Daphnia pulex: one gene and its partners. The main gene of each other region encodes a partner of the protein of the gene in region 4 in a complex. Links are inferred from orthologs where the notes say so. Each region holds a gene or a part of one and is shown on either strand. Other genes may lie near its edges.

What was found.
Region 1: actin-related protein 2/3 complex subunit 3-like (region 4) and actin-related protein 2/3 complex subunit 4 share a complex: the UniProt entries of both Caenorhabditis elegans proteins name them as parts of the arp2/3 complex. The link is inferred for Daphnia pulex from reciprocal best matches to the Caenorhabditis elegans genes arx-5 and arx-6.
Region 2: actin-related protein 2/3 complex subunit 3-like (region 4) and probable actin-related protein 2/3 complex subunit 2 share a complex: the UniProt entries of both Caenorhabditis elegans proteins name them as parts of the arp2/3 complex. The link is inferred for Daphnia pulex from reciprocal best matches to the Caenorhabditis elegans genes arx-5 and arx-4.
Region 3: actin-related protein 2/3 complex subunit 3-like (region 4) and actin-related protein 3 share a complex: the UniProt entries of both Caenorhabditis elegans proteins name them as parts of the arp2/3 complex. The link is inferred for Daphnia pulex from reciprocal best matches to the Caenorhabditis elegans genes arx-5 and arx-1.

What each region holds. Positions count from the first base shown.
Region 1 is NC_060028.1:5,630,428-5,637,875, forward strand, and holds actin-related protein 2/3 complex subunit 4, read left to right. Parts: upstream 1-2,746; 5' UTR 2,747-2,918; coding exon 2,919-2,921; intron 2,922-3,106; coding exon 3,107-3,225; intron 3,226-3,285; coding exon 3,286-3,493; intron 3,494-3,623; coding exon 3,624-3,794; intron 3,795-3,857; coding exon 3,858-3,863; 3' UTR 3,864-4,049; downstream 4,050-7,448. Other genes in the region: uncharacterized protein LOC124209792, read left to right, coding at 740-1,485, 1,543-2,299; mitochondrial carnitine/acylcarnitine carrier protein-like, read right to left, coding at 4,127-4,208, 4,278-4,383, 4,486-4,665, 4,739-4,859, 4,924-4,963, 5,040-5,196, 5,288-5,399, 5,461-5,562. UniProt on the Caenorhabditis elegans protein: Functions as actin-binding component of the Arp2/3 complex which is involved in regulation of actin polymerization and together with an activating nucleation-promoting factor (NPF) mediates the formation of branched actin networks.
Region 2 is NC_060024.1:1,045,808-1,053,687, reverse strand, and holds probable actin-related protein 2/3 complex subunit 2, read left to right. Parts: upstream 1-3,462; 5' UTR 3,463-3,609; coding exon 3,610-3,683; intron 3,684-3,747; coding exon 3,748-3,841; intron 3,842-3,908; coding exon 3,909-4,008; intron 4,009-4,082; coding exon 4,083-4,217; intron 4,218-4,278; coding exon 4,279-4,551; intron 4,552-4,615; coding exon 4,616-4,845; 3' UTR 4,846-4,980; downstream 4,981-7,880. Other genes in the region: uncharacterized protein LOC124201224, read left to right, coding at 1,658-2,455, 2,527-2,652, 2,901-3,122; phenylalanine--tRNA ligase beta subunit-like, read right to left, coding at 4,981-5,132, 5,195-5,396, 5,464-5,838, 5,904-6,158, 6,227-6,406, 6,477-6,743, 6,807-6,876, 6,949-7,103 and 2 more. UniProt on the Caenorhabditis elegans protein: Functions as actin-binding component of the Arp2/3 complex which is involved in regulation of actin polymerization and together with an activating nucleation-promoting factor (NPF) mediates the formation of branched actin networks.
Region 3 is NC_060017.1:5,489,069-5,497,284, reverse strand, and holds actin-related protein 3, read left to right. Parts: upstream 1-3,664; 5' UTR 3,665-3,827; coding exon 3,828-3,871; intron 3,872-3,979; coding exon 3,980-4,166; intron 4,167-4,354; coding exon 4,355-4,669; intron 4,670-4,740; coding exon 4,741-5,058; intron 5,059-5,139; coding exon 5,140-5,358; intron 5,359-5,483; coding exon 5,484-5,567; intron 5,568-5,656; coding exon 5,657-5,752; 3' UTR 5,753-6,877; downstream 6,878-8,216. Other genes in the region: RING finger protein B-like, read right to left, coding at 1-183, 261-410, 473-640, 717-870, 944-1,092, 1,178-1,241, 1,342-1,440. UniProt on the Caenorhabditis elegans protein: Functions as ATP-binding component of the Arp2/3 complex which is involved in regulation of actin polymerization and together with an activating nucleation-promoting factor (NPF) mediates the formation of branched actin networks.
Region 4 is NC_060026.1:13,599,053-13,606,247, forward strand, and holds actin-related protein 2/3 complex subunit 3-like, read right to left. Parts: upstream 3,152-7,195; 5' UTR 2,887-3,151; coding exon 2,881-2,886; intron 2,778-2,880; coding exon 2,408-2,777; intron 2,342-2,407; coding exon 2,184-2,341; 3' UTR 2,095-2,183; downstream 1-2,094. Other genes in the region: endoplasmic reticulum resident protein 29-like, read left to right, coding at 884-997, 1,165-1,416, 1,478-1,870; vacuolar protein sorting-associated protein 33A-like, read left to right, coding at 4,013-4,122, 4,184-4,271, 4,335-4,439, 4,507-4,801, 4,874-5,000, 5,063-5,129; uncharacterized protein LOC124203699, read left to right, coding at 7,171-7,195. UniProt on the Caenorhabditis elegans protein: Functions as a component of the Arp2/3 complex which is involved in regulation of actin polymerization and together with an activating nucleation-promoting factor (NPF) mediates the formation of branched actin networks.

The DNA of each region.
Region 1 (7,448 bases), on a different chromosome or scaffold from region 4:
TTCCATCCAATGGGATGAAGTTTGCTCTTTTTCCCCCCTTTTCACCCTTTTTCGTGCTGCCTATACCCCCTCTTTTGCCCTTAGGGTCGAAAGGCGAAAGACGAAAAGGGTGAAAAGGGGGAAACTTCATCCCATTTTAAGGACCGCTCACCAAAAATGGCGTGGGGTCCGTTTTAAAATGGGGGGAGCTAATCTCAACTTTGAAGTGAGATTACGGGGGGATATTATTATTTTAAAAATATAAAAAAATACCATGAGAATCAGCGTGAAAAACTGATTCTAATGGTATTTTTTTCAAACGAATCCCTTATTCATGCACCAACCCTATTCCTTCAGTGCGACGCATTTTCATCAGCCATCACTCTGCTTTGGCTGATAGCAGAACAAAAATTTCTTACGCTTGTTGGAACGTCTACGGTAAGTCCCTCCATTTCTGCAGACGCATTTTGCCATTTTCCTTGTAGCATCTTGTAGTTTTAACGTACACTTTCCATCAAGCGTAACAAAAATTTTCGTTCTGAAGATATGAAGTGTAAAGATCCACATCAACAAAACTAGTACGACATTGTTATTAAATTTGAAGACTGAGAAAGTTATATTTTAATTTTTCTTGCTTTTGTTCGTAGAAAGTGCTGTTAATAAACGGTGAGAAAAACGCGTTTAAAAATGAGCATTTTAAATTTAGATTGCATATTTTCACGAATTAAAATATATCTTTGTATTTAGGACTTTTGGTAGTATGTTATCGAAATTAATCAGAGAAGAACCAACAAGTTTGATGTTAAATACCAAACTATGCCTCATTTCAATGACACATTCGAATACGTTTTTGTCTAGTACGGTATTCTTCAAAAATCAGCCAACTTGTCGGATCCATTTTCAGACTTCAGAAAGACCCGCGAGCCTTATTAAGATTTATCTGGAATGTATTTACCTGAATCGTTTCGGTCTGCGTGCTACAAGAGTTTCAGTAAATCAACCAGAGACGAACTTTGTTGGTTTTATGGAGAGTGTTGAATCATATTCGTCGGTTCAGCAATTTAGTTTGTTGATTCCTTTCAATCGCTTAGCTTCTAAATTGCGTGATATTTGTATCATTTTTGAAGTCCACGTAATTGGAGAGTCATCTTTTTGTTTACAGTTAACCGATTCACAATGGAAAAAACAGATTATTGAATCCATGAATGGGCCATTTACGGACCTCGTGTTAACGGTTAGAGGTCATAAGCTTCCAGTCCACAAATCAGTTTTGGCCGCTCGCTGCCCTGCTTTGACGGCAAAAATAAAAGATGCTGCAGTTGAACAACTTATTTTGGATGAAGATCCTGTTACTTTCCGAAGATTTCTTCATTTTCTCTACACTGGTCTACTAGATGACTGTGATTATTATCTCATAGATATGAAAACGTATGCAAAGAAATACTTCGTAGATGAAATGCTTCCTAAATTTACCGCAAATGGAACAATGGAAAAAATGGTCACGAAGTATTCTTATATTTAATTCATTTAAATTTCATAAACCATAAATTGATATATTTTTAGATGTGAAGCTGACGTGAACTCACAATTAACGAAAGGAGGTGTCGTAATGCAATATTCATGGACGTTGAAAAAGTTGCCAACTTTGAATCGCACAACTTTCTCTAATAAATCAAAGGACGGTATGTGGTTCGGCGTTGGTATTCAGTGTGTACGTATCATCCCATATACAAATTGTAGCGAGTTCGACCTATACTTTTTTACTGGTCGAAACAGTCGAGTGGTTGGTGTCTCATACTTCAACAGATGGGATCCCTGTTCACAGAAGAAACACAACATGGATCTTAATAAAAATCTGGTCTTCACAAGCAATTTCTCCGTTGCAAATGGATACAAATGTTACCAGTTCACGTTCTGTGTGACGATCGAACAAGCGGATAATGAGGAATATCGATACGAATTGCAGGACAGTCTTTGCCCAACTCAGCTTTGGCGTTCCGCTTTGGATGGCATGACCACCGATGTTCAGTTGCTCGTCTCTGGGCGTATCTTTCATGCCCATCGATGGATTTTGGCCGCCCGGAGCCCAGTTTTTGCCGCAATGTTTTCCCACGACATGCTCGAGGCGAATACTGGGTGTGTTGACATCAGCGACATTACACCAAGCATATTCGAACAAATTTTGTTCTTTATTTATAATGGCCGCATACTCGACTCTACCCCTAATTTACTTCTATTGGAGGCAGCTGATAAATACCAAATAGAAACGTTGGTTTTCATTTGTCGGGCTTCTTCATCTCCAATGGAAAAGGACAGTTGATATGGTGATATGTGCTGCATCAACAAATCAGTGCAACAAATTAGTGCAATCGTCAACAAATTAGTGCAATCGTTACTTTGATTCTATGTTTGTTAACCTATTATTTCTCAAAATAAAACAAATATACCGGCATCGACTGCACGTAGCGGATATCTATCTGCATATATCATTTCTAACGCTCCCTTAAAAAAACACACAAAACAAAAGTTTAGTTATAGACTTATCTTCAATTCTACCTATACAAGTAATATATAACAAACTAACAACAAGTCTTAGATCAAAGATATTTACGAAACCCCTAAGGACTAAAACTTGTTTATATTCGGCTTGATTTGTGATCTGTGATCTCACGGTAAATTTCTTGAATAAAGGAAATTGATTGATTGATTTTTTTGCTTTATTTAATACGGGCCCTCTACTGGCAGCAGATTGAACTGTTTCCATTCTTCGTCGGTTCCCATGTTATCTTAAAAAATTGCGGTTTTTGACAGATCCGGCCCACCCCACTGAAAAAAGCCAAAGAAAGCACTAAATTGAGTAGGGCCTAAATAGTGTCCGTGGAACATATTCTTGAACTATCTTAAGATTCTACGCTTTTCAGCTGTGCAAATTGCAAAAAATGGTTAGTTTGCTCTTAAACTTCTGTGTTGTGATTCAAACCCAGCTAATCCAAAAAGAACTTTGAAAATATTATGTTTTGAACTCATCAGACAAAAACACATTTCAAACACTTTACCACACCCTCTTCCTTTTATCATTCCTATCGTCTTATGTGTACACGTATAATTAATATTTTGTCATTTTTAGTCAGCAACTTTGAGGCCTTACTTGTCCGCAGTTAGAAGTACACTGGAAGCTGCAATGTGTTTGGAAAACTTTTCTTCCCAAGTTGTTGAAAGACACAATAAACCTGAAGTGGAAGTCAGGTAAGGTTAAATGAGTGAAAAAATTGAGTAAACATTAATAAATACTATTTTGAAACATAGAACAAGCAAGGAATTATTACTGAATCCAGTTGTTATTTCAAGAAATGAGAAAGAAAAAGTCTTGATAGAAGCCTCTATTAATTCTGTTCGGATTAGCATTTCTATCAAACAGGCTGATGAAATTGAAAAAATTCTTTGCCACAAATTTATGAGGTTCATGATGATGCGAGCAGAAAATTTTGTTGTTTTGAGACGAAAGCCTGTTGAGGTAAACTCTTTTTAACATATTCTAAAATATGTTGTTAAACTCTTTTTAAAATATTCTAAAATATGTTGTTAAGGTAAACTCTTTTTAAAATATTCTAAAATATGTTGTTATACATTGATAATTTCTCTAGGGTTATGACATAAGTTTCTTGATAACTAATTTTCATACTGAAGCCATGTACAAACATAAATTAGTGGATTTTGTCATCCACTTCATGGAAGAGATAGACAAAGAAATTAGCGAAATGAAATTGGCCGTCAACGCACGAGCCCGTGTGTGCGCTGAGGAGTTTTTAAAGCGGGTGTGTTTTACTGTCAATTTTTTCATCAGTTATTACCGACTAACATTTCCCATTTTTTAATAGTTTTAATTCGAGAATTTATTGGATAACTGGAAGAAAATTGAGACCAGATAATTCCCAAGTTTATTTGCATAAAAACCTGTTTCCAAGCCAAGCTAATTCAGTAAAATGATCCGACTTGTGTACAATCAGATAACTCCTAGTTTGAGTTCATGCACAAGCTCAAAAAATAATAAATGAAAATATTACAGAAAACTATATTGTATTTAGTCAAACTGGAGTGTGCATATTTCTTGATAATATCTACTTGGAACAATATCAGTGCTCCGCAATTAGATAGAAGGAGCTAACCAGTTCAAAAACTTCAAAGCCATTTCAAATCCTAAGAAGCAAACGGCATTTGCAGGGAAGGCTCTTTAAAGAAAAATGGACGTTAAAAAATGTTATCAAAAATTCTTATTTAATTAAATATGTCCCTATTACCTAAGAAACACTGGAACTGCTCCTCTATAGAGAGCTCGAACACCTTCTTCGCGCATCAACACTTTAAAGACGTCACGCACTCCATTAGGATACGTTCCTTCGGGAGCTTCAAGTGGGAAAATAATCGAAGATATAAAGTTATCATATTACCTTTCACTTAACTCATTTATTTAATAGCCTAATATCTGATTCTATTAAAAAATATTACCTGTTTGTAGTCTACTCTTCAGTACATCCGGTGGGATGGCAATAATCCAGTTGGCGATTCCTGCCATTCCACCGGCAAACATTGTCCGAATTGGGCTTAATTTCCCGTCGGAGTTTTCTGGTGCAAGTGCAACCTGGAGCCATTCATAGGTCATAAAATAGATCCCGCTGGCTGGAACATCTACCAAATCGAAAGAGAGTTCATCTGTAGTTGCAGAAATTTTCTTCTTGAACTATAGTTGAGTCAACCTTACCTCTGAGCAGTGTAGCTCCTGTTCCCCGATAGATACTCCGTATACCTCCTTGTTTATATAACTGCCGAATACAGTCAATTGGTCCTGCATACTTTGCAGGGCCAGTACTGGCTTGTTGAACCTACAAGCATTGGGTGAGAATTGATATAGTCTTCCTTAATTTTCACCACTTGCAAATCTACTACCTGAAGAAGACATTTAATTCTCTCACCAGGAGCCATGATGCTTTAAGATTGGAAAAAATAATGATTATTGATAGACAATGCTGTTAAAGGTTAAGTATAGTATTCGGTATTCCTACATTGTTGTGCCAATTGCAGAAAATGCTCCTGCATTAAAAAGCTGGAGTAATGATAGCCTTTCATTGGGATGGCTTTGTTGAAGCTTTTTTCCAATTCCAAAGCCTAGAAAACTTATGGCAAAAATAGGTGCAACTCCAGTAATTGGGGCAGCCATACCTTGATGAATAAGAATTTCAGATGATAGTTCAAATTGTCTAATATAATTACACACACTGGAAAAGACCCCAATATATCAAAATATATTCACCTTTATAGAGACCTCGAAATCCTTCATGCTTGATTGTTTTTGTCAAGCAGTCCCATGTTCCACTATACAGAGGAGCCTGTCCAGGTATGATAGGCATTGTTTGAAGTCGAACCTAAAGCAAAATGTTTTTAAAATCAATAAATATCAAGAAGAAGAACGTTCACATCATATACCTTTAAAGTATCAAACGGGTGGCCAACAAATATGGTACAAATACCGCCAAAACCACCGGCAAAAAAATTTTTGATTGGGCTGACTTTATTCACTTCGCCCATTTTATATTTTTTTCTAGTACTAGAACCTCTTGCAATTATTTAGACAAGAAAGAAATAACAAAGTGAAAAAACAGGGATGTGACTTTTAGTGATTGTAATTGTAAATAACTAGTGAAAGAGGAACTGGTTCTTCCAGTCTTTACAGCGCTTCACAGATAGAAACAAGCATGCTTGTAAGTTGTAGCAGCCGAAGCCCGAAAGAGCTGATATCCTATTGCCCCTTTAGGCAAAGTCAGATAACAACATTTCATTGGCCACTACGTTGATCGATACAAAATCTGCAAATTATCACTCGTTTAGACAAATTTAGATTTCATACCATCAATTAAAGTTAACTACTTCATCAAATAAATTTTCTTTCGCAATCGCGAAAAAAAAAATAATAATCGCATTTTACTGAGCAGCACTGAAGGCAATACAATCGTTTTTTTTTTTAGTGTCCATAATGATTCACACTCCCGTAGAGTGGCATTTTGGTGGATTTTTCCGTTTTTTCGAATAAGAATAACGGGAGAGCACGATATATTTAATTATTTATTACTGTATGTTTATTCATTTAAAATTATTCTGTAAACATATGAATAATGGGAATTGAAACATTGAATGTTGAATCTGAGTGAATTGTTTTCGAATTTTCAATTCATTGCCGTGTGATCCGCCTGTTATTATTTTGATTTTTTAAACAATCAATTGACAACAGCAAACAATGGACTGCAATATCCCCTCCCGATTTCTTCTGATTGAAATAAAAACAACAGGGTTATATGTAAGTACAATAGGGTTACAGGACGCCTCTCACAGGCCATCCCTTACAACAACAAATAATTTAATTCAAACAAAAAACAAGTAAGAATACCAAACAATAAAATTTATATGCTGAAGTAGTCTATGCTTATAAGTTTAGTCCTTAGAGGCTTCTTTCGCCTTTCTCTTGCAAGCTCATTCTCCCTAGTCAAATCTTCGGGCCTTCGATAAGGAGCGACAGTGACCTATATTTGAAGGCGTATTCCAACACCTTTTCAAATTCCTCAATTGTGGAGTCTGCAGTCAGTGTGCACTGTGCAGTCATGTTTGGTAGGAATTGATCCAACATCCACTTTTTCGCAGGCGGAGGATTAGCTAGGGGTTCCGACCGACGCGCTTCTCTACGGAACGCCAAATGACCCCCTAAAATAATAGCACTCGACTAGTGCTATTTATTTTACAAATCACTTGAATAATATACAACCGGGTGGCGCCATCTAGCGGTTTCAATTGGCGTAACGGAAGGTATCGATTTTTTCCAAAATGTACGTATTCATATCGATTGATAATAATTTCCACAAGCGAAATGGTGGAAACTATTGGTGGAACCGTGGAAAGATTCATGCCTTCATTGAAAGTGTCAAGTATGGCTGTGTCGTGTTATCGTGTATGTTCGTGAATCGTGATAACGGTATAACTAACTGATAACTAAATTTACATGAGTTAACATAGTTATGCTTTCCAACTGAAGCACTTGACTTGATCAAGCAGTTAACTGTCGAGTTTGCCTTGGAGGATGTGACGTCTTTTGCTTCTGCCAGTAAATTATTCATTGCATACATTGTTACACTTGAAACTGATTTGTTTTTTTTCAAATTAGGTCATATTACTTCTAATCATTTCAAGCAACATGTTATACCCATCATACCTCCACATGAAAGGACTGCTCTTACATCCCACGAAAGACTCCCCAGTTGGAGTGAACAAAACTCGATTTAGGAAATGATATCCAATCAAGTAACACTGTTTATTATTATTTTTAATCATTATTTTGTATCCCAAAAATTTAATGCCTTGTTTTTTTGTTTTGTTTTTTATTGTTTTTCCCTTTTCGGGACAATGATTCAGTGAGGACATCTCAA
Region 2 (7,880 bases), on a different chromosome or scaffold from region 4:
AAAATCGGAGGAAGGGTAGCAAGAATTCTGGCGACAGTTGGCCATGTTAATTTTCTTATGGACAGCATCAACCAGTGGTCTTTGTCATGGTTGTAGATATAATGGTTCCCACTGTCTGTGTTATAAGGTCCCATAAGAAAAAAATTGAAAGTTCTCCGTCAATGATCTTTCCTCAGGGCATGGTTACTACGAAAGTGCTGCCATCTGCCCACACAATCTCTAACTGAATGGCTTACTGCAGAAACGAAGAATTCACGTTTTAATGGCGGAAATGCAGATTAATGTAAAATGACACGCAAACCATGTTTCGTTTTGGTTAGATCTATTGTCACGACATATGTCGTGGCGCGACGGTCAAAACTGTCTATTGTCACGACATCTGTCGTGGCAATAAAGAGAAAATTGTCTATTGCCACGATACGCCTATACTTCCTCTCTGATCTCTCATATCGTGACAATAACACGAATTTTGTCTATTGCCACGACATGCGTTTTCGTACTAAGTTCCACAGAAGATGTTTAGGAAAACTACTAAATAGGGTAAAACTACATGTGCATAATTCCCGCATCAATTTTCTTGTCAATTATCCCGTGAAACTCAACCTTTGTTGTAATCTCCAAATAAAAAATTACCCTCTCGACGGAGAATCGAACGCCATGCTATCGCATGGTGGCATTCATCGCTGACCATTCGGCTACCACTGCTGAAATGTTATTGTAAAAAACTTGACATACATAACCTAACCTAACCTAACCTAACCTAACCTAACCTAACCTAACCTAACCTAACCTAACCTAACCTAACCTAACCTAACATGCGTGAATGTCGAATTTTAAAAAAATATATGTCGTGGCAATAGACAAATTTCGTGTTATTGCCACGATATGAGAGATCAGAGAGGAAGTATAGCCGTATCGTGGCGTGTCGTGGCAATAGACAATTTTCTCTTTATTGCCACGACAGATGTCGTGACAATAGACAGTTTTGACCGTCGCGCCACGACATCATGTCGTGGCAATAGATTTAACCTTTCGTTTTTAATTGTAAATCTTCTTATAACAAAGAAATTGAAAGTCTTGCGTTTTTCCATCCACCGAAGTTGTGTCTAAATTCCTGGCAGGAAATTATTAAAAAGCCAGGACTCACTTGCCAGTCCAGAATTTGCAGTATTCATTTTGAAGAGAACGACATACTTAAAGGGAGAGAAATTCAAGGCGTGTTTTACAGTTATCCGAAATGGAAATTAAAATCAGGTGCTCGGCCCAGTAAATTGCTAGGTATTCTCAAATTTTAATTATCCATGACAATGTTAAGTTATACTAATACTGCTAATTCTGTATGTTTCTAACAGGAAATGATGTCAGCGTACTCGAAAGACCTGCTGCAAAGAAGTATGTTCACAGTGATAGGTTTAAGTCACCATATCGAAATATAACAGCAAAGTCTAAAGCTGCTAATCCTAAGCTGCAGTTGGACAATCAATCATTTTTGTCGAATAACAACACCAATGTATTGATCCCATCACATGCAAAGAAGTCAACGTCAAATAGCATAGGTAAATTAAAAACTAAGTGTAATAAGATATTTTTTAAAAACATGACATGTTATGTTACAGCTATACACCAACTTGACGCTGAAAAAGGAAAAGTAAATGATATGGAAGCAGCTGAACCTGTGGCATTACCATGTGTAACAACAGAAGACATGTTCCAGGAACCTACTACTGAAACACTCCTACACATTCCACCTGAAAAAGAACTACAATCTGAATCTGAATCTCAATTGAGAGTAGAATTTGAACCAAATGATATGGAAGTGGATGAACTGATTGGAGCACCGGGTGAAATGACAGAAGAAATGTTACAAGAAAATTCAGAACAAACAGCACGGGAGACAGAAATGGAAGGATACCTTGACCCAGCTACATACACTGATGTTATTGCGAGAGTCAAACTACCTTCCTCTTCGTGGATGTGGCAAGAAGATAAGGTTAACAAAACCCTCGTGTGTTTCAGTCATTCATTTTCTCCAGATCGCAAAATTGTAATAAAAACAATCTCAGTTGTCTCCATGAATAAGGTGGAATTGTTCCTCAATGGAAAACAAATATTTCCCCGTAATGTTAAGACTAATTTCAATGTAATTGAAGATTTATCTAACATTATTGGTGCCGTGGAAGTAAGCAATGTGTGTGATGGAATTGTTGAACTATCACTAGCGAATGTTTGTGTGACGTCCCGATGTAGCGCTGTGAAAGACGGAAAAATCATACGATCTAACCGGTGCACAGGACTTACTGAAAACAATGTTTGTTTGAATTGCAAATTCCTTAAGAAATATCTGATGACTCGCAAGAAACAATTAGGTTGTAAGGCTGAGAGGACAGGAATTCAAAAGAAAAACCAACAGCAAAAGAGAAATTTAGCAATGAGAAGAATTCTCCAACAAGGAAAAGTAATTATTTTTTTGTTATTCATAAATTAACATACGATTACTATTAATATATTTTCTATTTGTAATTTTAGTTGGTCTCTGGAATTGTGTCAAATTTAGAAAAAGAAAAGCAGACTTTGACTATTACAAACCAAAAATTGATTAAGGAACAGAAAAAGAATAACTTTGACGAAAAACTAAAGTGCCTGAGTCCTACGGTAACAATGAAATACTAATTTAATTACCTCATGACTAGACTATATGTATGCTTCCCTATTTGACCAATGTTTTCCAATTATTTCGATAGAGATATCATTCCTTATTCCAACCCTCACATTTGTGAAATCCAACTTATTCGCAAGACTATTCAAAAATAATATTCCAGACGATTGACAATGACATTCCATACTTACTAAAGACCATATCATATATCAGTTTATTAATAGATTTTTCAAATCTCTATCAGGAACAGTTAATCGTGAAAACTATGATGGACAAAGCTAAAGCAAAACCGGGAAAAGATAACTGTAAGAAAGGAATGCGTTACGACCCTTTATTTTTGATGCATTGTCTTCAAATTCGACTTAAAAGCAGCAAGACATATAGACATTTGAAAGCAAATGGAATTTTACCACTTCCGAGTCTTGAAAGCATAAGGAAGTTATTAAGCTCCACTGACTGCCGTTAATACACATTACAAGTTATAAATTGAACCAATGAAATCTATTGTTATCATCTGAAATTAATCTTAATTAGAAAATCGTCAATCAATCTGTTTAACGGATGCGCAAAGTACGCATAGCTCTGATTTGTTTACGAGGGACTTAGAAAATTTCTGTGTTGTTTCAGTGTAAGCTTCCACCCTTCCAACACCAGGTCGCGGGGCTGTCGCAGTAACCAAAGATCACAAAAAAATCAGCTGCCTTATGGGACCTTATAACACAGACAGTGGGAACCATTATATCAACAACCATGGTCTTTGTCTATGACACCATGCTGGTGCTTGCGTACCGCACCTGCTTTGTTGAAATCTGGCAAACGGCAAGTCCACTCCCTTTTCTTTTGTGGTTGTCTTGTGAGTTGTGACAGATAACATTAACATTTCCTTGTGTGCTGACTATGTTGAAATTTGTTTAATTTTGTGATACAAGTCATCACATTCACATTTCGTCGCGATGATTCTTCTGGAAATAAATAACAAAATTGTTGAAGATACCCTTACAGTTAAAATAAAAAATTCGCTTGCCGGGTAAATAATTTATATACATTTGTTTTTGAATTGCTACGAAACATATTATTCCTAATTTGTATAGAAATAAACCGGATTCCGTAAATGTAGTCATTGCTGATTTCGATGGGGTTCTTTTTCATATTGCCAACCCTGATTCTGATAAATCCAAAGTTCGAGTAAGTTATTAGAAAGAAAACCTTATAAATGAAATGTTGCAGGATTAATTAATTGTTATTTTTATAGGTTAGCATTTCACTGAAATTCTATAAAGACCTTCAGGAACATGGTGCTGATGAGTTACTAAAAAGAGAATATGGGAACCTACTATGTCAAGCTGAAGATGGTATGTGTAATATCCTATTGGTGAAAAGGTTTTATTTATCTTCTTTGTTTATTTATCCTTTTTTTTTTTTGAAGGGTACAATATTTCCCTTGTTTTGGATTTGGATAACATACCTGGCAATTGGGAAGAAATAGTAAAAAAAATTGGACTGCTGAAAAGAAATTGCTTTGCATCTGTTTTTGAGAAGTATTTTGAATTTCAGGAAAAGGGTAAAAAAATAATGAGCAAAAGCAATACTCTGAAATTCTATAATTTTTCTTTTCTAATAAGGTGAAGAAGGGCACAAGAGAGCAGTTATCAATTATCGTGATGAAGAGACATTGTACATAGAAGCTAAGGCAGACAGAGTAACAGTAGTGTTCAGCACTGTATTCCGTGATGAGGATGATATTGTGTTAGGTAAAGTTTTCTTACAAGAACTTCGCGAAGGTCGCCGAGCTTCTCACACTGCCCCACAAGTTCTTTTTTCTCACCGAGAACCTCCTCTGGAACTTCAAAGTACAAATGCTAAAATTGGTGACAATATTGGATACATTACATTTGGTATGAAATCATTTCTATTTTTACACATGGATTTCTGTAAAATTTATGTCATAATTCTTTTTAGTCTTGTTTCCACGGCATACGAACAAAAACGTCCGCGAAAATACCATTAATTTGATTCATCTCTTCCGTGACTATTTGCACTACCACATCAAATGTAGCAAAGCCTACATTCATTCACGCATGAGAGCCAAAACTTCTGATTTTTTGAAAGTATTAAACCGAGCTCGACCTGAACCAAAAACGGTGGAAAAGAAAACGATCACCGGCCGTACTTTCATTCGTACTCCATGATGTTTAAATGCACATTTTCCCTGTTTACCTAATTAGGATTTCTTCATTGATTAAATTGTAACGCTTAGTTTCACATTTTTCAATAATACACTAGCTTCTCATTAATGACAGACCACATTTATTTCTTGTAACTGCTTACAAAAACGGTTCAATATTCAACTCCAAAGCTGAACATGGAAGATTTAAATCAAAGGATGTCACAACATCAGGATGTAAGACTCCGACGATTCCGACAACAGTGCCAGCAAAAATGATTTGGGCGCATCGTCCGGGGAAAAAAGTTGCATCTGTAAATTTTATAGCTTTAGAAGAAGGTAATCAAAATATTGATGCAGTATATGAAATGAACCTTCGCATGGTTTCAGGAAGTATCCCTTGCTGCCACTCTGATCCAGTGGAACTTCCAACAATTGCATTAAGCGATCTAGTAAACCATGAACTAATTCAAATCCAGGCGACTTATTGTAATAAACGGCGCACAGATTGCGGCAATTACGAGCTCCAACATCTCGCTGACTGTCTTTCACTACCACATCGGATACTTCAAATAGCTTGAAGAACAGAAACCATATGTTTTACAACTTTTATAACTTATCTTATTAAATAAATAGGTTTTACCTTCATGGGCAAAGGCATTTTCCTATTGGCAGCGATAGTTTTGAGCAAACCTGAAAGTAAGGTCGTGCGTGCTACTTGGAACTCCAAAGTTTTCGGATTGGAAACATGAACTGCAGGAACGGAGTTCAGAGGTTTCCTCAGCTTTTCGCTTATGTCTTCCTTCGAGCACAACGAAAATGTGAGAGCCTCTGTGAAACCGGCTTGAGCAAGCTGGTCTCTCAACTGATCTGACAGCTTATTTAGGGGAAACTGTGAAGCTATGGTGTTAGTTTTCGGTAGAGTTTTGGTTATGTTATTGTATCCAAAAGCAATCGCCACATCTTCATAGACATCACACGCATGAATGATATCATGACGAGTGGGGGGTATTTCAACCTGCCAGGGAATATTTTTACATGAATTTTCAAAATCCTATAATTTAACCATTACATTTTTTTTACCGAAATGGAACCAGTTCCTTCCACGGTGGCAGTTAAACACATTCGGGTGAGTAAATTTGCGATTTCGTCAGCTTTTTCGTTGATACCCACCATTGTATTGATCTTGTCAACACTGATTTTCTCATGTCGATTTTTTAAAATCGGATAGTTGTTGATTTTTCCTTCTGGAGTCTCTACTTCGCATATCTCCACAGTAAACTGATCCCCGCAGTACCTAGAAAACATACAGACCAAAGTGTCCAAAACGATGCTAGCCTAAAAGAAGACATTTAAACAATTAAAGAAGCAATTTAAAAAATTGCATTTTCATAAAGGCAATTTACCTTGGTTAGGTCTGTAGCAGTGCATTCAATGAAAACATTTTTCGTATCTAAGGTAATTTTTGAATGTTCACCATTGATAATAGGTGGCATAGAAAGAACTACTCCATTACTGTCCTTGATAACAGGATAGACTGAACTATCGCGTATAATTGGTAAATAGTGGCGAAGATGGCTATCAGTCTGAATTAGTAAAAAATGATTATCTTTAATTTTTAAAAGCATAAAATGACACAATTGATAGATAGATTACTGAATACAAGTCCATTAACTGAGAAGCAGTAAACTCTTTACTCTGGCTCAATGGCTTGAACTTAATTGAATCAGGTGGAAGTGCTTCATAGAAAAATGGACCATGGACTGTATCCAAATCATGAGTTCCAATTGCAACAAGACTACGTTTCCTGCACAAGTTTTGATGTAGTTTATCCTGAAGATCTATGAAGCTACTGAAAGTGTTTTGGTCAAAGTGGATGTTTCTAAGAACTGCTGCAACAGCATGTGGTCTTATTGATGCAGTCTGTAATAAAAAATAGTATTGAATTGAAATAATAATTATGACAAATTTCTTATGACGACTCACCGAAGGCTTGATAATTAATCTTTGAGGAACTGTCACTGGTGGAACAACTTTAAAAGCTGGAAATTGCTTTCTAATTGAAATAATAAAAAGTGGTATTTGTTGATTTAATGATAAGTTTGTTTTGTTTATGAATTTATCTTACTCTCCCAAAAATACTTGAAGACCTTGCACAAGACCTTCTAAACACAATAAGTCATATCTATTGGCAGGAATATCAATCTTGTAAATGATTTCTTCTGATGCACCAGCTGATCGTTCTGTTCCTTGTTCTTTCAAAATGATGAGTTTATCACTCGTCTGAAATAATAAAAATAGATACGAGTAACTTGCATAGGGAGAACACATTAAGTTTCATATCAAATACAATTCATATTGTTTTGTTTGTTGGTTTTTTAGGGGGGAGGGGTACTTACAACTTCATCAAGTTCGATGCCAAATTTGAAACAAAGTTCATCAAACTGTTCTTCCGCTAAATATAGAAATAACATTATATTAACTAAGTTAAATTGAAGTTTAACTGAAAGAACTTATAGCAAATACGTGATCTCAACTCACTGTAAGATCTTCCAAGGGCTTTGAACAGTAAATCTCTATTGATACTTATGGTAGGCATGGTGTTGTTCTGGAAAAGTTGCAGAAGATGATAAAGAAATTAACAGCAGGACTGCAATATCAGTGATCAAACTTGCCAATTGCCACCCAGTTGCCACCTGGTTTTTTGGACAAGCTGGAGGATGGAATCGAAAAACTTTGCAACTCTGGTTTCAATGAGCTGGCGACTGCCGAGTGCAGACTAGATTGCCGGATTGCCCGTCAGTGTTAAAACCCCCATCTGGTGACGGCTTTTGGTAGCCTTTTTGAATCCAAATGAAATGCTATGTACAGTATGGAGTAGTTGGACATCCTGCGTTGTGCATTTTCCGCAAATGCGAAAATCTCATTTGTGTCCAACTCGGTCTGTGTCGCCTACAGCGTCTTATGGGAAAACCAACTTCTCCTCGGTAAAAAAATTGTTTTCTTATCTATGACTCTGATTTTCCCCCTTTTCTTCCTAACAGTTAATACTTTATTCAT
Region 3 (8,216 bases), on a different chromosome or scaffold from region 4:
CCTCCTCTTGTATTTTGGGGCTTTCCGTATTACTGGGCGTCGTCACACAAGACCGCTCCCGTTCGCAATAGATTGGATCATCATTGGAGGCGAAGAAAGATCCATCAAGGGCGATAGTCGTCAGCTGAGTTCGTGCAGTCGGCCTTGGGTGCTTTGTTTCGAGACGCTCCCAGGTTTCGGTCCCTAAAGGTGGTGAAAAATTTAATTATGGCAATGGCGAAACCTGTACCACCTATGGCTTCGTGTGTTAATTGAATTACCGAAGTGAAATCGCCAGACTTCGTCGGATAAGTTGCCTTGCTTTTCACCACCAACCACAAGCATATGAGAGCGTACCCTCACTGCCGAGTGACCGTGTAGTGGACCTGGGCCTAACGGCTTACATTTGACGCAAGTCCATTGCATGGTGACTGTTATATAAAGTTTGATGTGAAAATGAACTGCTAAAGTAACTGTAATAAATACGCAATACCTAGGTCTAATCTCCAGAAATCTGATCTCTCCGCCAAATCCGTCATTCCTCCATAGACCCACATTTCTTGGTCAAACACAACCGCAGTATGACTGTGTCTAGGTGGTGGAACAACATCGGAGGATTTTTTCGCTTTACCACCATGGATCATTTTCCACGAATGAGACTCTATTATACAAATAGTTTGGAAACAATGTCGATATTGAAAGGGGAAAGAAATGTTGAACAAGAAATTGTTCCTTACTAAAAGAGAATTCCCATAGTTCTCCGAGCGATCCTCTCATGTCTTGATATCCTCCATAAACGTACATGCGATCCTCGTAGACAACCGCCGTGTGACCTTTCCTTGAAATCGGAGCACAGTTCTTTTTAGATTGCCATTTGCTCCAAGTATTATCCTGAAATGGTAAAATAAATAAGAGTCTTATAAAGTGTTCCCATGCTATATTGAAATCATAAACTGAGCTATACCGAAATGGTGTACGTCCACAGTGGGCATTCGTCAGCTGGCGCAAATATCCCGCCAAATACGTAGACGCAGTCGTTCCAGTAGACCATCGAATGCTCTTGAACATTCAAAGGCGTCCCTTTGCTACCCAGCGACGTCCATATACCGGTATCTGTCGACGACATTCCATCAAAACATTCAAATTTATGGTAATCGCGGGAGAGAAAATGTTATTTGAGCAGAGACAATGCTCTTACCGAGATCCATCACCCAGAAATCTTTGAGGGGGATATTGGAAGAGCGTCCGCCGAGTAAATAAACCTGATCGAAAATACAAGTGAGAAAAAAGGAAAATAAATAAAAAAAGATTTGACGGGGGAATCGATGAAACTTGGTCAAGAAATGTCTCTTTTATATATACCACTCGTCTCTGGGGATCAACACAGCTTGCGTGTTTGAAGCGTGTCCGAGGTACGGGACCCGTTTCGTTTTTCGTCGAATGCACTACCGGGCTCCACATTTTTGTTATCCTCCTTTTTTTCGAAAAGCTGCTCGTTATAGCTATTTGAAACTAGAAATAGAACGATATGACTGACTATAGCATTTTACAGTTTAACATTCAGTTGTCAATCATCCCAACATACCTGACAGAATCGCTGATGATTAAGAGACAGACGCGAGCGACGTTCAAGCGGTTGAAGCTTGTTATGAAAACTGAAGAAGCAGCTTTCTGGTTGTCTCCTTTCCTGTGTGCTACTATTGAAAGCGTCGTGGGACTATGATGCGCGCGCAGAGGCTTTTCCCCCCTTCCAACACGGCCCCTAGCCCCACGGCTCGTCGTCCCCGATTCCCTCCATCATCCATTTTTGGTTTTTCTTTCTCCGTGTGCTGCTTCCAGGAGTTACGTTGGCTTGGACTAACGTGAGCACGCGCGCCAAAGTCTCAGCTAAGTATTGATCGGATTGATGAGACTAGACGTTGCATATTCAAACGTCAAGTGATGACTATCTCATGCTCGGACCGGAATAGGATCTTGCTATTCGATTACGAGCAATTCAATCAGACCCGAAATTTACTTACTGAGAATTTTCTGAAAGGGCCTCCGGCCATGGAAGAAGCTACGCATATAGTTATGCAAGTGAATGTTGTGATGTTTTTCAATAATCAACTCTATTTATAAAGAGATTTATATAGTATACAGGTATCAGTGTAGTACGTAAAAATAGAGCACCGACGACGAGTCCATAAAAGTGCTAAAAGTCTGTAAAGAAAAATTGGCGATCGTTACATTTGATCCTACAGGAAGCAAACCGTTTTCAATATACCCGTGTTCTTATAAGCTACTATTTTTGTAGCGCGTTGCCCAGCGATATTTATTACGTGATATTGACGGGCCCTGAATGAGGATTTCTATTTCCTGTCGTTGGCAGAAGAGAACGTTATTAGCTCTCTTTGGTGTAGCTAAGCTGAGTGAACTAAAACTCGATCCCAGTCGAGTATAAAGTTGACTTTTAAAAGAAAAATCGTCACGTCGTTGCTGTGTGGTTCCTTCCGCCGCTTTTGCTTCATGGAGTTTTTAAAAAGAAACTACTTGAGAGAGATATATGCGGTGTAGGGCGAATGGACAAAGGGAAAGTTTCAAGTATTCTTGTACAACTTCATTAGAATCGGGAAATGTCAGTATAGCTTATGGGATTAAATATGCCAACTTGCTGAAATTTGTCGTCACTTTGGCTGGTAATTTTAACGTACTTAACAGTTTGCAAGATTATGTCACCCCCCAAAAAAGCAATTGCTGTGTGTGAGTAATATGCTGATAGAGCGATAGATACGAAAGTGAGGGCTAAAATTCAAAAGCCATTAGGATGCGGTGTGACGCAGAGTCAACATTTTCCTTTAAGATAAAGAAATGAGAATATTAGCGATATAAGTTTTTCTTTTTAGTGTCAATATTCTCATAGAACATGACTGTCTCAAATTTAGTTGGAATGCCGTGTCATGCAGGAAAAGATGAGAATGTTCATTGTACAAACACAATGGCCGTACTGAAATGAAATGCTCCCCTGTAGATTTACCGTCTCGGTTTAAATAGCCTGTGGCGAGTTTTGCGCGTGTATAGAATGGTGAGTTTGACTTGCAGACCGAATCAGAATCCCCAGTTACTCGTTTACTGAACCGTTGGTTGCCACGAAAGCCCCATCCAATAAAATCTAATTGGTTTCAAGGGCAGGAAGCAAAAGATGGTAGGAAAGAAAATGAAAAGGAAACAACCCTTTTTTTTTTTAAATTGAAAATTCAAACTTGATTGCTAGACCAAAGATGAAAGAGCAGGGGTATCTGGTATCTTCGACTCGTGAGGATAGGGTCCGGATTTCCGGATAAATTTTTTTCTGTTTCTCATCAAGACCATAAATTTTTTTTATTGTTCCTTAAAATATCTTTTTTTTATGACGAAAACTTCTTTTTACGTCACATATGGTTGCCTTCTGATTTCACAAAAGTTCAATCAGATTCATTCAAATCACGCTAGATGTCTTCAAAATCTGGCGCAATTCAATTTTACCAATCGTTATGGGATGTTTTACTTCTTTAACGTCCACCGTTTATTAACCATTGGAATAACTGAACTATGGCCTTATCTCCGCATATGATAAATAAGATAACCTTACCATGTTTGTCTCATTAAAAAAAAAGAAAAAAAATCCTTATCAGATTGTCAGAGGAAGTTCTGTTGCCACCTGGTGGCCGTAGTCTGAAACTGCCAGGGGTGGGGATTGAACACTCATCGCTCTAGACGCTGCCGGTGTTTCGAATTAAGCTAATTTCGTTTACAATTTCTGTGTCTAATCACAATAAGGATTAAATCAGAGAAATAGTGTTAAAGGTTTTAAACAATAATTGTGTGAAATGACCGGAAGATTACCGGCTTGTGTGATTGACATCGGAACAGGGTAAGGATATGCTTTGGTCTGGTCTGTCTGACAGACTGCAATCTCATCTCAGTGTGCCTATTCTGGAAAGGTTGTTAACACTTCTAATAAATTTTTGTTTTTTTTTAGTTATTCCAAGCTTGGTTATGCTGGCAATAAAGAGCCTCAATACATTATACCTTCAGCCATTGCCATTAAAGAAACAGCAAAGGTTGGTGACCAAGCTTCGAGAAGGTTAGGAAAGGGAATCGAAGATCTTGACTTCTTTATTGGTGACGAAGCCCTCGAAGCAGGAAATGGGGGATATTCAGTCAAAGTATGACTTTTTTTCATTCATAACTTAAATTATCTTATTTTTAAGTAAGTTTTAATGCAAATGACAGTTTGTTTACATGATTGGTAACAAACACCTTACTTATGAGATTTGTCAATTCAGCTATTTTTCAAGTGGAAATAGTTATTATTGAAAACAGATCATTCATTTTGGTTTAATTACCATTGCAGTATCCTGTACGTCATGGGATTGTTGAAGATTGGGACCTTATGGAGCGGTTCTTAGAACAGAGCATATTCAAATATCTGCGAGCAGAACCAGAAGACCACCATTTCTTGCTAACAGAACCCCCTTTAAACACCCCGGAAAACAGGGAGTACACAGCAGAGATCATGTTTGAATCTTTCAACGTTCCCGGTCTGTACATAGCTGTTCAAGCAGTCCTTGCTCTGGCTGCCTCTTGGACCTCAAGGCAGTTGGGTGAAAGAACCTTGACTGGTATTGTGATTGATAGTGGTGATGGTGTTACCCATGTGATCCCAGTGGTAACTGATATTATTATAAATAATTTGCTTTTCATTTGGGCGCTTTCTAATTGTTGTCTTGATTTTTGTAGGCTGAAGGATATGTTATTGGAAGTTGCATAAAGCACATCCCAATTGCAGGTCGCAACATAACCTATTTCATTCAATCCCTTCTCCGTGAAAGAGAAATTGGCATTCCACCTGAGCAATCGCTCGAGACAGCCAAGGCTGTTAAAGAGCGCTACTGTTACATTTGTCCTGATATTGCAAAAGAATTTGCCAAGTACGATGCTGAGCCCAATAAATGGATGCAGAAATTCGAAGGCCTCAATTCCATCACCAAGCAGCCGTTTGGCGTTGATGTTGGCTATGAGCGTTTCTTAGGACCCGAGATTTTCTTTCACCCAGAGGTAGATTTTATTCATTTTCGTCTGCATTTTGCATTGGCTATTGTAGACCGAATCATGTTTTCATTCATTTTGATATTGCAGTTTGCCAACCCCGATTTCACGACCCCTATATCAGAAGTTGTTGACACAGTCATTCAAAACTGCCCTATTGATGTGAGGAGGCCATTGTACAAGAACATCGTATTGTCGGGTGGATCGACCATGTTTAAGGATTTTGGTCGGCGGTTGCAACGAGATATCAAGCGTGTTAGCGACGCTCGGCTCAAAATCAGTGAACAGCTGAGTGGAGGCAAACTGACGGTGAGTTTCCACTTGTATTTAAGAGTTGTGGTCGAATGGGTTGGCTGAACGGGATACGCGACGGTTCCCACATCCAGGAACTGGCGTAATAGTTGTAATTGAATATTTTTGTTCTTGGTTTACAGCCGAAACCTATTGACGTTCAAGTGGTATCGCACCACATGCAACGCTATGCGGTATGGTTCGGTGGAAGTCTACTTGCTTCAACGGTATGTGATAGCGATAAATTACGTAAGAAAGGAAATTAACTGACTTATCTTTTTTTTTTTTTTTTTGGCTTTCTCTCCCCGGTTTGCAGCCTGAATTTTATCAAGTGTGTCACACTAAAGCTGCGTATGAGGAGTACGGGCCGAGCATTTGTAGGCACAATCCAGTGTTTGGTACTATGACATAATTACCTGTAGAACAAAAACAAAAATCAAGGTACAGCGCGCAAAAAGGAAGCGCCATAAGGCATCGATCAGATCGAGGTTTCCTCTGTAATAATTCAACAATGTGTAAGGAGGGCCGTATCAAATGTAATTATCATTTTCACAGAGAGGAAAGTGAACAAGTTCTTTTCCGTTTATTTTTCTCCGTTTATCCTTCCTCATTTGACCCTCAATTTTTTTTTCCTACTAGCATTTGTTTTTGAATCCAGTCCGCTGTTTTTCCTGACACCATGCCTACCCCGTTTCCTCCCTCTCCCAAGTTGACTTGTCTCCCCCCCCCCCCTTTTACTCGAGAGAAATGATGGTGCTTGTTTGTTTTCCTCTTCCTTCTGGTCTTACTTTTCCTTTTTTTTTTTCCTTTTTCTACATACTTTCCAATTTTAAGTTCATGGGTGATTTAGGGTGAGCAACTTGAGTTGATTGGTAGAACCGGATTTGTTCAAGTGCCTGTTGTTTGTTGGCTTTTCTACCATTTTCCGTCTCTACTAAAAAAGAAAAGAAAGATGTTTTTCTTTCTTTGCGCCGTCGTGGTGTCTATTTGCCGAAATAATCAACTGGGTTCATTATCATCCTTAATTTTATTAAGTGATTCAGCATATACCGAATAATTGGATGACAGTCATTCCTTGTCTATTTGTCGTCGAGGCCAAGTGTGTGGTTGGGTGGAAGCGTTCGCTGTTGCAAATGAAGAAATCAATTCGATGCAAATGCAATCAAGTCGTTGAGAGCTAAATAGTAGTCTTCAATAGCCCCTTAAAGGTGATATTGGGGCGTAATGCAAAGTAACCTGTCCGATATGAATGACCCTAACGTATTTGATGTTCATACACGAAACCCTGCTATCCCTGATCACTCTATAACCACTTAATAACACACTACAGTCGTTATTTGTTGCATCAAAGACGCAATCAAACAGCTTTCCGTTCGCTCATCCGCAATCAGTCCGCCGTTCACCACCCCTTTTCTTCCAGTTCTATCGCTCCCTCCCCCTCTCTCATTATTTGAAATTGTTACATGAAGAAGAAAAAAAAAATTGAATTCTTGTCACTGGCATGTCATGGATTTAGATAATACATTACCCGAATACATTCTGTTTGGCTATATGTATATATATTTCGGTTGCGTGAATGTCTCTATAGACCACATATCGATGCACACATACTTCCTCCGCCATTATTATGTAAAAATCTTTTTTTAGTTTTATCGAGAAACGAAAATGTTGAGCATCGCGTGTGAGTCGTTGGGATTTGACGTCATAGAAGCTCGGCAGCTTTGTATGCTGATGGCATTGATTGCCGAAGGTGGTTTTTCTACACATGTGAAATTGTCTTTCGTGGAATGTTTTGGCTAAAGGGACGAGTTTTTCGACGGTTGGAATTCCAAACCAGATGACGTGATACCAGATCGTTATCTTTCCCTTTTCCCCCCTTATACTGCCTCCTCCAAAGGACAATTTGTTATTCGAAAAATACCAAATAACTGCCGAATGCCGATCCATTGCTGGTGTTAAGCAGTTTTGCATTCATAATGAGCTCGGAAAAGAAACGTTTCTTTTTTTTTTTTTTAAATCGAATGAGAGAATAATAAACTGTCGATTTCCTGTTTTTCCTGTTTAGTTGATAGGGAGACCGGCAGTCATTATACTGTACCGGGCAGGATTTCCGATGAAAACAAACTTTTTTTTTAAAACATTTATTTTTACCTACTATGCTGGAATGGAAACTTCCTCCCACGAATGTGTTTCTTTTCCCCTTTTGCCGAACCTTCCGATCCGTGATCTCATCCTGCGCTGGCTGCTGGCGACTAGAATTTCATCCACCCACAACAAACAAACATTGAGAAAGAGCGAGGCATATGCGCTAGAGGTTTTCTGTATATACTTTCCTTCTCGGTTACGTGTTTTAATTAACCATTTAAGGTATTTGCATTTCCCGGGGACGTTATAAACTGTTGGCGGGGGTTCAATGATGCAAAGGTTCAATGGATGGGGAAATTGACGCATGAATCACCCCTTATTTGCATGTCTACTGCGCTGTCGTCATTGTGCGGGGGAAATCACAACTGAATAATAAATAATCTGAAAATTGGAAAACACTTTGGAAACATGATTATTGGCCATTTTCATCCACCGCAAATAAATAAAAGAATACTTTTTCTTCTTCTATTTGAAATTTGACGAGTGTGTGCGTCTGTAATGTGTAAACCTGGTTATAAAAAGAAGAGAGAGAGAGAGGAAAAAAGTTAACAAGCCAGCGCTGTTGGATATTATAGGCGGCGCATTTCAAATTTTCAATGCGTCTAAGCACACAGCCACTTTGGTTCCCCTATAAATCCTCCTTACCACTTGAGAGTTTTTCTTTCTCTTTTTTTGTTAACGTCCTTCTGTATAAATATTGATGTCGGTATATACAGTCGATGAACATATAA
Region 4 (7,195 bases):
TTCTACGTTCGTGACAGCCAGAGCTCACACAAAAAACTCCAATTCCAGACGGTTGGAACGATCAATTTTCTACTTTTTAGACCATGTAAATAACAGAGTAGCTTAGTTTACCGACGCATGATGATGGGCACCAAGAAATGTGAGGATGCATATCACGTTATATTCTCTCGAGTTTAAATTATTAAGCGCTATCTGACTCAGACAAGCTGTCTTCTAGTCTAGCCATACTTAACTGTCGTCATTAATTGGCACAGGCTAATCTTTCGGCATCGCAATCTTTCCAGCATCATGAACTTTAAGTGGCTTATTTTGTTACGAATGGAGCAGACTATCAACATCCGCAACAACAATTTTATTGGAACCATCCAACGCTTACTACTTAATTAGTCGTCTATCAATTTAGCGCCACGTAACGATTGGCTAATGCCTGTTGTAGGTTTCTTCTTCTTAACTTCGTAATAGGATTGGTATAAGGTGACACTAGGAGCCTATTCTAGAATTAGTTGTCTGCTCAGATTTGAAAAGTGAAATTACGTAATCATCTATAGATAAAATTACTTTTAAATGATTCCTCCCTTCCTACCTATAAGGCTATAAATTACTATAAATTGAGCGTTAAATTCCCGCCGAATCTGTTCTGTCGTGGCGTTCAAATCAACGTAAACATTTTATGTTGACGTGTGCACCAACGTGGCAACATTGTGAGCTGTCATCTTCGAATTGGAAAACGTGTAAAAGAAAAATCCAGAATATTGACTTTTGTTAAGTCGTTTGAGTTATACGGTTTTATCAGTTATCACGGTATCAGTACAGTTATATCAGACGAGAGTGCATTACTGATTATTCAGTATTATTACCAGCGTTCCTTCCAATCAAGTGCATTATGTCTCCTAGTCCTTTTTATCTATTTTTGTTGATCAGCTGTCTGTCCTTTACCAGTGCATCATCTAATAACTGTCAAGGCTGTGTTCAACTGGACTCTTACTCTTTTGAGAAGGCATGTTAATATTTATAAGCTTACCTTTTATATTTTAATGCCTTTGTGTAAATTGATTTTAAATTTTAAACAGGTTTTTCTTTGATATTGTTATTCAACATGTTAAATCAGCCAACAAATTAAGCATTATTTAACATATTATTATTGAAATTGCTTTGATTACCCAGGTTGTATCTAAATTCAAAGCTGCCATTGTGAAGATTGATGTTGCATATCCTTACGGTGAAAAACATGAACAATTCGGGAAATTGTCTTCCACCCTGTCTTCCAATCCGGACATCCTAGTTGCAGAAGTAGGAGTAAAAGATTATGGAGATAAAGAAAATGTAGACATAGCTGAACGATACAAGATTGTCAAAGAAGAGTACCCTGTGATGTTGTTGTTCACAGAAGGAAAGGCTGAGCCAATCCGATACCAGGTACCCAATAAAAAATTGTTAAAGCAAGTACATCAATGACATGGATCTGATTTCTGTGCAGGGAGAATTCAAACTCGATATGATGCAACGATTCGTAAGTTCCACGAGTGGTTTGTGGATCGGCTTACCGGGATGTTTGGAAGTATTTGACGGACTAGCAAACCGGTTTGTAGCTGCTTCAAGCCCTTCCGACCGGAAGGAAATCTTACGCCAATCGGAGGATGAATGGGACAAGGTTTCACTTGGCAGCGAACGGAAATCAGCTGAAGTATACGTCAAGGTTATGCGCAAAATGCTGGAGAAAGGCAACGATTTCCTTCAATCGGAATTATCTCGAGTGGACACACTGCGCAAAGGAAAATTGGCAAAAGAAAAGAAAGACGAAATGGAGAGACGAGTCAACATTCTCCAATCATTCCAGCCGAAACGTCCAGCTGCAAACACTGAACTATGAATCTAATAAAAAACTGTTCTTCTCGGCCATTCGATACATGCCGAATATGGTCCCTTTATTCATATAGTGCGAAGACCAAACCCAGCTATTCAAAGCGATGCATTCTCATTTTCTTCGCAAATACTGTATTTTTTTATTATTTGATGGGCCAATACAGCCATATAGTTCCAGACGTTGTTGTGTTTTTTTCTTATTGGTACAGGCAATAATATTAATGCTAAAAATAAAACTTGAACAAATTAGATTTATTTGATCAACCCATGTTGCACGTAATTAACGGAAAGATAAACGTAAGGATAAACGCAATGACTTCTTACATCCCAGGAGCTGATAATGACTTGTCCATGAACTTCTTTTTAGCAAAGCAGAGCCAAAATTTGGAAGGCTTTCCATCTTCTGTGCAGAAAACTTTATCTACCAGTCTTAAACCCATCTCTTGCCTGGCTTGCGTCAGATACTGCCTCAACAAATCTATTTAAAAAGCAACAGAAATGTTATCAGATGAGAAAAAGCATGTTTTTACAACTGCTACTCTACCTGCTTCATGCTGGCTGGTAGGTTTAGCATATACAGAGTTGAGCGGGAAACCAGGTTCCCCAGGAATGTCAAACTTTGATATTGCCAAGGTATACATCTCGTTCTGAGCTGTATTCTTGTTTGAACACTTTTGGAGCTTCTTTAGGCACTCTGTGATGTAGAGTGTAAGGTAGATCAGGAGTCTGTCTGCTTCGCTTTTGACTTCATATGTGCGGAAGAAGACATTTGCCTTGAAGTAGTACAATGCCTCATCCAGGACATCTGACTCCCCCATTTCTTTGGGAGCTGGCCCTCGGAACTGGGTTTTCAACGGCAAAATGGCCATATTCCCAACGACTTGGGGTGGGTTCAAAAACTGGGAATGATAAGCCTGTTGAAATCAGAAACAACACAATTGTCAGGCACAACACAAACCAACGTATTCTGCACTTTTCAAAAATCCGAAAAATACGACATCTGATAAACAAACTTACCGGCATTTCTGTGGAAAAAAATATGTGCGAATTGACAGCTCAAAAAGAAAAAAAAACACTGAGCCGGCTGATATTGCTCAATATTGAAAACAAGAAATTGTTGTGGTGGAAAAGGAAACCCAGCCCCTTCCTCAAAGATACTATAGTGACTTAGATATCGGCCGACGAAAGGCCGATACGATTACGTATCGATCATGTTGTAATGTCTATCGATTGTTATGCAGCCATTCGGTCGTGAATTGAGCTACACAAAAAAGGTAAGTTTTTTTGCAGCTGTTTTTTTATCTTGAATGCATTGATTTGGCTTGCTAGTCACGTATCACACGCCCGTCTGTGGTTGTGGTTATTCAGATAGAGTCTTGCCACTGTATTATTATCGACCAACGACTCACTCGTTTTCATTTGTTGCAACTCTAGCCAGGCTGTCGTCCTGGTTAGCTCAGAGGCGCCCATTTTTTTGTGTGTTGTTGTTGCCATCGTCGAACAAACTAAAAATAGATTCTCTTCATCACTTGCACATTTGATGTTTACACGTCATCCCTGTTTTGTTGGTACGGTTATCCCTGAGGGTAGTACTTGTACTACCAGAAGGCATTAAAGTAAATGCGGGTGTGTGTGTGTGGAGGGGGGGGGGGTGTGGGGGAGGTACGCTGTTCTGGGCCAGGCTTCCAGAACCTTTAATTCAGAATCAGAATAAATTTATAGAAAACTAAACTACTGCATCGATTTTCTTCAAACTTTTTGTGTACACTTACAGTAATTTATCTCAGCGCTTAGGTAAGTTTCGATTCATTTGGTAATACTAAATTTTATTAATTTTTATGCGGATTTAGTCATTAGCTTTTTGTGACTTAGGACAACCACAAAATCCATTAGGTTGTCTGTTGACAGTCTGTTGATGTCTTGTTCAGTAAAAATAAATTTCGTCAACAGTTTTGTTATTGTTACAGGATATTGTTTCTCTTTTAGAGAAGTTCAGTGGAACAAAGGTATTTTGATGTGTGCTATTCCATTTAAGAAATGTACGTAAATTCATCAATTTTGCTAGGCAATATTTTGGGATGAACAACTCACTGGCCCCATTGGTTTGGTGGCAGAATACAGTTTTCTTAAGGAACTAGATGTTGTAAAAATGTTCCAGTTAAAACCTGGGCGCTTGCCTTCCATATCTGTTAAAAATATACTGTTCATCACAAGACCTGAAGTTGAGCTGATAGATTTTATTGCCGATAACTTGCACAGGTATGAATAATCTACATATTTTAACTTTAAATAGTCAACAATAAGTTGATTTACATTTCAGCGAAGAAAGCCAAGGACATTCTGCTAGTAAGGAATATCAGTTAATTTTTGTCTCCCGACAAAGTGCAGTATGTGAACAGCGGCTCAAGGTTGGTTAAAGTTACTTAAATCAGCGAAGAAGAAATTGTTGACATAATTATTACTTCATTTAGGACAAAGGAGTGTATGGAACTCTTACTTCTATTGATGAACTGCCTGTTGATTTTTTCCCACTAGATAGTGATGTCATTTCAATGGAACTCGATAATGTTTTCAAGGTATTTATTTATGAGCCAAACTTTGAAAGGGATTGCTTGTCATCAACTTCTTCAAATTTATTCTCAGGATTTATATGTTGACAATGAAATCAGCTCCTTACACCAAATGGCTCATGGGTTAATGTCCCTCCAAAGTTTATATGGCATTTTCCCCAACGTTGTGGGTAAGGGGCGCCATGCCCGTAACTTATTCGAATTGATGACTCGAATGCGACGTGATATTGGGGTAGACTGTGATCCCCCCATGTCTCCGTTGTTCGACACTCTCATGATCATTGATTGGACTGTAGATTTGATAACTCCTTTTGTCACTCAGTTGACCTATGAGGGTCTTATCGACGAATTCTATGGAATAAAACATAGTAAGAAAGTATTGTTAGCTTCTGAGTAAAACAATTATTTTACTTGCATTTTGTGGTTTCATTGTTATTTAGATACAGTCAAGTTTCCAGGAGAAAATTTTCAAGCCTCATCACATGCGGGCCAGTCACCTCGCTCTGATGGTAGCTCTGTTAAATCTGTTGTTCTAAACTCGGCCGAAGAGCTTTACGCTGATTTGAGGTGAAATTTTGAATCAGACAAATTTTGCTTCCGACAGTTTTAAAAGTTATTTATTTTCGCAGGGACAAGAACTTTTCAGCCGTGGGTACTGCACTCAGTCACAAAGCTAAAGCTATTTCAGCTCAGTAGCCTGGATAACGCCATTGTTGCATTTGGAGGTGTTAAGGTTTCTGCATTCGCACGCGATAGTGGAGAAATATTCCTAGACTCCTTCGATGATTCGGTAATCATGGTAAGTTTAAACTCAATAAGATTTCTCAAGCAGTTTTTTTCATCGGGATTTTTTTTTCTTGTGTATTCTCTTTAGATCAACCCGGATATACCTGATGAAAGGGAGCTGAGGGAGTGGCTTAAAGACAATCAGTAAACAAATCCTTTTTTACTGATTGTCTGAAGATCTTAATTACTTGACGTCCTTAAACATCGACTGCAGCTAATTGCCTCCATCTTTTTTCTCGAATTGTTGCCTCCATCTGTTTCCCTGAATTGTTGCCTTGCCTCAAACTTTTTTCCTAAAATATGGCTACGATCTTGTAACCTGAACTGTTGCCTCGATGTTGTAACCTCAACTGTTGCCTTTTTACCTCAGCCCTTGTGATGGAGAAATTGGGCCACTGTCTGAGTTTAACTCAAGAATTTACATTGTTTATTATTTTATTTCGTAAATGATACAGAAAAAAAATCAAGGAAATTACAATAAACACAAATTACGAAATTCCTACATTTTAATTGTTTTGAAAATATAAGCAAAAGCTTTTAACTGATATCTTGCCCGTTAATACCCGAGGGCGAACCTGGAAGGGTCTTGTATTTTGCCCATATATCGCCTCGAGAGAATGTGACTCTTTCAATGTCTTAAAATTTGCATAAAATCAGCATGGATGGACCATAACATTCCCGACCTTGAGGGCATCTTCCTGCCTCGTGTACCAACAATTTTCCTGGGTCGTTTTCTTTGTGGGAGGGGGGTGTTGACAAGCATGCCGGCGATTTGCTGCGTAGTAACAATCCGATCCAGTTGTTGTGATTCTCTTGTTTTCACGCTATTGTACGCAGGCACACAAGCCGTGGGGGGTAGTTGAACGAAAAAGAGACGCATGGCGAATTTCGATGCCCGTAAGAGGAGATACAAAAACCCACTCTGAGTCGTGAACGAAATCTTTACCCTCTGTGATGATGTCAGCATCTCTCGAACCTTCTTCCACGTCTGATGAAATGTACGAATTGACGAAATAATCAAAAAAAGGAGCGGTTGTTGAATGGCGGCCACAAAGTGTCGGATGCCTTCGTCATCTCATTTGTGGATATCACGCAAAAGGCAATTTGATATTGGCAGCATTCCGCAGCTGATGTCGAAATTCAATCCCAGTTGGATTTCAGTGGGGATGTGGATCTACGTCGTAGTTTTGATTCATTCATGATTCTCGTCGATTAATCCTATTTTCTTTTTTGCTTTCCAGGTTTTGATTTGTCTAGTCGTGCAACGTTGGGTCCCGCCTGTGCACGCTGAAAGGGCGGCCTCCTCGAGTCTGCGTCCCATCGATCCGGAAGAGAACGATGCCACGTATCCCCACGGTGTATTACTGCACGCGACCCAAAGTGAATCAGGTCCAGTAACGGACGGATAGTGTGTCGGTGCGGATCGCTCCCCCCAAGAAGAAAACCTGCTTCGTCCTGTTTTTCAAGCAAAGCGGCCAAAAGGAACTGGTCTGCTGTTGTTGAATTCGTTTCTCTTTTTTTGCAAATGCTCAGCCTAAAGCTCGTTTCGACTCACTGTTTGAAACAGCCGTAGATTGGGTCCACCAAACATTCGACCGCCAAAAAACTGATTTTTTGAAATAGTGTCGATATTCTAGAAAATTATTTGTTCAACTCCAAAAAAAAAAGAGCAAAAATGTGTCGTGATCGTGATATGGCGTGTGCCGGCTGAAAGTTGCCACCCTGCAGACTCTCGACTGAACCCCATTTGAGAAACACAAATTCATCAGAAATTCTTTTGGAGAAAAAATCTTCACAAATTACGCAATCATCTTTTTACAAGTGCCTCAACCCTGGCCGACAACCTGGAGCGATTTGAGTAAGTAGTCATTTGAATCAAAAATTTTTGTTACAAGGTTTTAACAATCTTTTTGGGTATTTTTGCAGTTGGGAGGAGAGCAGTGCGCCCTATATGATGAGACGACGAACGTCCCTCG